2 linked regions of the Drosophila melanogaster genome follow. The protein of the gene in region 1 interacts with the protein of each later gene in a pairwise test. Each region holds a gene or a part of one and is shown in the gene's direction. Other genes may lie near its edges. The genes, in order: CG15296 and CG14424.

Region 1 (3,094 bases):
GAATGGACAAATGAATGAAAAATTGTAAATGCGAGTTAGGACCCGTGCAAAATATGCAAATGAAAGCTGCTGTCTCCCGTATTCATTTCCTTTACTCGTCTTATTTTTTGTTTTATCTTTTGCTGGCATACCCAAAAGTTGAGCCCGCAAATCTTGATTTAATTTCCGGCTATTAAGCTGGAAGGGAAAATTCTGGGCTGGCGCATAGTTGTGGGCACAAAAAGGGAAAGTAGTGAAGCAGCTCATTAGGATCACAAAAGGAGTCACGTATTCGGTATGGTTTGTTCCTTTTTTTTTTCTAGGATGCTTGTAATGAATTGGGCACATAAGACTAGTGAAACCTATTCATATTTTAGTTAAAACTACATCTAAATTTACCAACTAATGTTTGAAATAAGATAATCCTTATCTAGCATAATCCTTATCTTCAGTGCAATAATGGCGCAAGGAAATTCATGTTTTCAGAGGCTTTAATCCATTCAGCCGCAATTCCACGCCTTGCACCTCGGCCACGCAGGACCCATTTATTCCCGGGCTTTATGACTCTGCCAATGAATGGATACACAGGCACAGGATGTGTCCTGGCCAAGGACCCTTTTGACCCCACCTTTGCCGGCCACTCTATTATTTATTTATAGAAAGTTGGCAGACTCACGCCAAAGGGGCTAAGAATTTGGTCCTTTGCTGCTTGGCCGCCTTCATTCTGTGACAAATGAATTTGGGTCAGAAGTTGTGCAAATTAAAAAAAAAAAAAAAAAAAAAAAACCGAAGAGAGAAGAGAAGAGAAGCTTGGTCATTTGGCGGGTGTCAAAGTTCCTTCAAACAGGACCGGAAGATTCGTCTCGCCTTTGACTCGCCTGAGCGACATTCAACTGGTTTTCAAGTGCTGAACCGAATTGCAGTTTTATTTCCATTCACGTAGCTCCACACACGGAATGTGCTCCTTTCCCAAAATAACAAAGAAGTAAAGAATGGTTGTCGGCGGCTGTAGCGACTAACTAACTACCCATTGACGTACTACCACAATTAAACGCTTTCTTTGTGTCTACTTTGTGTCTTTTACAAACAAATAACAAACACAATTCTGTAATTAGCTAATGAGCAGTTATATTATTTTGATTGTACACTACACGTATACAATATCCCAATATGCTCCACAAAAAAAGAGGGGTGCAAAGGGCACGTTAAAAAAAGGGGACACCAAAAATGTTACAAAAGATTTACACCATCCAAAACCTCAACGCCATCTCCGCATCCGCAATCGACGCCTCCTTCTTTCTGCTTGTGGGCAATACCATTACTTTTTCAGTTTGCTGGTTTGAGTAATGGATTAGATTTTTACTCACTTGTTTTGGGTTTCCGTGCTACCGCTATTGGTTGGATAGTGTATTCGTTTTTTATAGCACGCCGCCCACACCCCCCAAAAAAAAAAAGGATAACACCGCCGTTGATGAAGGGATGCTAGTGGGAAACTAAAAAGAACCCACAACTCTTGTCTCACCTAAAAACTTTAGTTCATGGTTTTGAAAAAAAAGAAAAAAAAAAAGGCGAAAGATTCTTAAAGTTGGCCTTTTCTTTTCATGTAAAATTCTTTTGTCCTCGTAGTAGGCCCATAATTTTAAATCGATTAGACTTATTCGAAAAGTCCTAAGGTACACACGTGTTTGTTGTGAGTACGAAATCCAAATCGATATCTTGGTAGTTTAATAATTAACAAACGTAATTTTGAATAGTTCTGCGATAATGTTTACTACACTGATGTATCGAACTGCAGCGGTCTCGATGACCGTCTACATAACCAATCGAGTTGGAGTTTGGGGTAAGACAGAGGAGACGGACCACCTGCTCGATCAGATCACCAATGGTCTTCAACCAGTATTTGGACTTCTGCGACGAACGCTGAAGTTAGATGAGAGCGATCTGAGCGTGGGTGAGCTATCCCGGAAATACTACAATGAAGGAGTGAAGGGCACTTTTCGTATCATTCGAAACATACCCAACTATTCGGAGGAATTGGCCGACGGTGCCAAGGTCACCTGTCTGGATTTGGTGGAAAAGGCCAAGGAATTGCGTCACAAAGAATATTCAAAATGGTGGAATACTTCCACAAATAAGGAGCAACTGATTATTGATTCACCAGATTCTGCAGCTGGCGATGGATCTTTCGAGGATTTAGTCCCATTTGAGAAACCAAAGACCGTAGATAATTTTGCGGGGGAAGAGGGAAATGGAGCTCTTGAACAGAGGGTTTAAACAACTGTCTATAAACAAGAAAAATCAGCCTTACTCTCTACAAAATCTTATTGTTAAATCTTTGAGTAAAGACCATGTATCATGTTAGAATCCCCAATACTCTGCAATAGGCCAATAAATATTTTAGATTGCCAAAGAATTCGCCTTTCGAATCATTACTCTAACCAAACAATTTGTTGAAAAATTATTAATCCAATTGGAATTAGCTGTAGAGCAGCAATAATCGTACTTATCAAAATTTTCCTCATTTTTTTCCTCAACTGTTTCTTCGCCCAGACACTCGGTAAACAGTGAGAATTGTCAACAGTCTATTAAAATGCCAGTCGAGCCGCATTGCCAACCGAAGTCAAGCCGTGCGAAAAAGGATTTTCCAACCCCATTCCCGGGAAAAGGAAAAGCTGAAGCCAAGCGAGCCAAACCAAATCAATCCAACCCTTTTTCCCATTTCCTTTATCCAGTTGTTTTGCGTGTTGCTTAACATGCGTTTTAATGTGACCCTTGCGGGTGCATAAAAAATTTAGTTTTTTTTTCACCTATGAAAATCCATTTTCTCTGGAATTTTCTTTATGGTTTGGATACCTGTTACTTGTAGCATTATATTGGTTTTTTTTTTGGTTACATCTACAATTAATATAAGAGACAAAATATCAAATTTAAAGTATCTTTATGCATCCACATTATCCGGCATTTTTATTGAATATTTTTGAAATAAAAACTAAACGCCCTTTTTCACCAACTTCGATTGGTTTTCCTTCTTTATTGTTGAATTGTAAACAGGTGGGTGGGTCATAAAAACGGGGACTACAGATGTTGGAGGGTTAGTAAATCCCTTCTTCAAGCC
Region 2 (3,804 bases), 7.6 Mb from region 1:
CGATCTTTTTATGCATTTCCATTAGCATCAAATAACTTGGCTGGGATCTCTTTTGCTCGCCCAGCTCTTCGAGCTTATGAATACATTGCGTTCTTTTTCGCATAATTTGGTTATTAAAACATTTGTTTATGTCGCCCATAATGGGCGGCAAATATGTTTTCCTTTTTTTTTCCCCCAGTCCGCCCTTGTCATTAGAAAGAACTGCCAACGGTAGCTGTGGAAAATTTAAATAATTGCCGCGGCAATAACATAAATTAGATAAACCATCGGAGAGGCTGGCAAAAAAAACATGGAGTTCGAAAAAAATACAGCACATAAATTAATCATACCACCCGTGGTCAGTGGCCCAAATTCGGAATTGAGTAGGGCTGAGGAAATCGATTGGTCTCCAATTTCAGCCACTATTGAAGGCATTCAATTAACATTTAATATCGGGAATAGCTCGATGTACCCGCTCTGTGAAAATTATTGTTCTTTACAATTGTTTTGCAAGCCGAAAATAATGGTAATATTTGAAGGAAAATGCAAAAGCAATTGCAATTTATTTTAATTCAGATAGTTGTTTCTTACGATCTTGCATTATTTTGCAGGCGGACTGTGATTTAAATTTAAAGTTCTCTATAGCAAAACTCTTTTGGCCAATACATTTACACTTTTACAGCCAATTTTTAGGCGCATTTTAAATGCTATTTTCAAAATAGCTTTAATTTTGCATAGGTCCTAAACAAAAGGAAGATTATTGATTTAAATTAGCCAACAATAGAAGAACACAAAAAAGAGAGCAGACACTCATAAATTCCATAAAACCATAATCCGTCATGCCATTATTTCGCGCAGCTTATCACTAATAGTTCGATAGATTAGCCACTTAATCTCTGGCACTAAGTTGAGCCTGCTTTCAATGCAGAGAATGGCGGAGAAAAGAATAAATTTCGCACTATGGACTCGATCCACTTGATTGATTTAAATGCTCGTTCCTCGATCCGAATGGGGAACACATGCTGGCTGGCCAAAGAATATCTTTGTATATGGCTATATGGCAGACAGGCAGGCAAATGAATGTGGCCCAAATAAGCCTCGAACTCTGACATCTGCGGGGAAGAACAGTGAGACCTCGCCCACTTCGGACATTGACAAATGGAAACGGTTTGACTTATTGAAAATCTCACTTTTGACCTCAAAATTGGCTCAAGAATTCGCCAGACGGTTTTTGTATTTTTCCGTATTTCTCCAGGCGACCCAAAATGCAAATTTCTCGATTTTGGTAAAGAGTCAAATGCAACTGGAAATGGAAATGTAGCCACCAGAAGTCAACGTTCTGCGATCTCTGGGATGTTAGGAGTTTTTGGGTTCTCTGCTTTTTGGGTTTTCTATTACTGGTTTTTGTGCATAAATCAGTCGACGGACATTTGCATAGTTTAATAATTTGCCAATCGTCCAAGTCCCCACCAATTTCGCTACATTTTACTTTGTTCTGCTGCCTGGCCACCTAATTTCTTTTGTTTTTCGTGTGATTTTTATGTGTCTACGCTGTTTTGCCTGCTTTTCGCCGGCCAGGTGAATGTTCCTTCCCTGTATAAAATGTCTTTGCCGGGCACTTGATGGACCATTTAATAGAGGCCCTCGTCCAGCGACAGACCCAAGCCCAAGTCCAAGTCCAAGTCCACATCAAATCCAAGTTCACAAGAAGATCCCATATATACATCATTATGGCAATTAAGTTGGTAGCCCTTTTGACCATCGGACTGGCAATCTTTGCCGCGTGCGAAGGTGAGTTGGTTGGTGATTTAGGAGACGAAAAATAATCTTTGATGAATTATGTTCGCTTTTCCAATATCCATCAGTATCATACATTCTCTTCGAAATCATAATTAAGTGACGGTTATTAATTAATAAATTGCTTTCATAGTTTTTGAGAAACAAGCAATTTTCATAGTTCTTTGTTAATAATGACAGACTTTTGTTGAAGTGCATTGACTTTTTTTTAATATGTGTTCCTAATATACGATGATATTAAAAGCTAAACTAGTTCGTCAGGGCGAATTTAAACCATTTCTGCCAACCCTATTTCCTAACCCCATGTCTTTGTATCCCATTAGCCCGCCATGTGAGCGGACACCATCGCAGGCAGCATTTTGAGCAGCGTGCCCTCATAGCGAAGCCCCACAGTGGTCCCCAGGGACGAGTCTTCCCCGGTGCCGTGGCCATTAAGAAGCTGGTTCTGCTTAAGTTCAAGAAGATCGTGCCCATCTCTCTGATCCTGCTGAAGTCAAGCAACGAGAACGAGGCCGAGCTGGTGCCCGTCTATCCCACCGATCAGATTCCCGAGAACGTTCAGTTCATCCCGACACCCAATGGAATTTCCGGTCACAAGGATGTCCAGGCCATCGCCATTCCTGCCGAGCTGCACGACCAGCTGCAGATCAACGGTCTGTCCAACCTGGAGAACATCGAGGCTCTGCTGCAGAGCAGCTCGATCTCGGCTGCCGACAATGAAGGCGAGGCCCCCGTGGGCAACAGCATTGCCGTAGCCCAGCCCGAGGATGTGGTACTGGAGCAGCCAGAGAACGATGAGGATCAGCTGTTAGACGGAGCCGCTCCAGTCGCCGCTCCTGTAGCCGTCGCTCCCGCCGCCCTGCGCCGCCTATCCGCCGACGAGCTGCTCCGCTCCGGCGTGCGCAACTCTGCCCAGCAGCAGCAGACCAGCGTGGAGGAGATACCCCTGCTTCTGTACTCCGCCAACGAGGGCTCCTCCTCCGCCGGAAACTCGGGACGTCGCTTTGTGGCCGCCGCTCCGGCACAGCGCCGTCGCCAGCAGTTCTACAACTAGGATCCTTTAATTTAAACAAGCAACCTATCCAAACTTCCACATTCCTTCTCTCGATGGCTGTCACACGGGCTTCACTGTACTAGGTGTACTTACACTACCACTGGCTATTCTACATTTTTTTTTTAGACTGAACTGAATATAAATTAACGTTATGAGCGAAATGACAAAAGAAGGGACTTGTGCTTCCGGGTGGCGAAGGGTCTTCAGTGGGCCCTGGGGTAAAAAGGCCACACTTGGATAAATTGGGGGTCAAAGAAGAACCTTTAAAAAGAAAAAAGTTGTCTCAATGGTAAACCAACCAATTTATTACAACAAAAAGCACTGGTTTTAAAAGGTTCAATTAATCTAAGTTTTATGTTTATAAACATTTAAATATCCACCCCTTTTTCGAGTGTCGCCAAGTAGATGGGCAGATCCTTGTTTGGGGCGCTGCTTATCAGGCGACTGCAGTTATCAGGCCTTTGTGCTCGGGCTTTGTGCCGCTGACGTGACAAGTCCTGTCTGTGTCTCGTTTCGTACTCGGCCTCGTCCTCGACTTTATCCTCATCCCCATCCTCAGTTTCAGTCTCAGTCTCAGTTTCGGTTTCGGTGTCCCGATCCCAGTCCAAATCGCAGTCCCAAAGAGTCCTCGTGTGGCAGCCTGCCAGCAATTTTGAGCCAACAAACAAAGCGGCCACAAAACACATGGCACAAATTTTGCTTAGGCGCAAAAGTCAACGGCACACGAGGCGCAAAGAAAGGCAGCCGCACAACAAAAGCGCCACAAAGATGGGACACGTTAACCTGCCATTCTAATGTGAAACCACGAATAGAGAATGTCCTTAAACATATGCCAAAAATGAACTAAATCTGCCGGAAATAGGAAACTAGAACATACTATGAACAACTATGAAATCCCATAGTTTGGTTTACAAAATTAGAAATCTAATAAGAGCGATATTCGATCCACAATTAATTTTCATATGAAACAACTG

What was found.
Region 2: the proteins of CG15296 (region 1) and CG14424 interact in a two-hybrid assay, tested with the Drosophila melanogaster proteins (one large-scale study listed by BioGRID).

The regions. Positions count from the first base shown.
Region 1 is NC_004354.4:10,565,138-10,568,231, reverse strand, and holds CG15296 (uncharacterized protein), read left to right. Parts: upstream 1-1,640; 5' UTR 1,641-1,673; intron 1,674-1,733; 5' UTR 1,734-1,743; coding exon 1,744-2,253; 3' UTR 2,254-2,390; downstream 2,391-3,094.
Region 2 is NC_004354.4:2,925,075-2,928,878, reverse strand, and holds CG14424 (uncharacterized protein), read left to right. Parts: upstream 1-1,620; 5' UTR 1,621-1,709; coding exon 1,710-1,770; intron 1,771-2,099; coding exon 2,100-2,830; 3' UTR 2,831-2,995; downstream 2,996-3,804.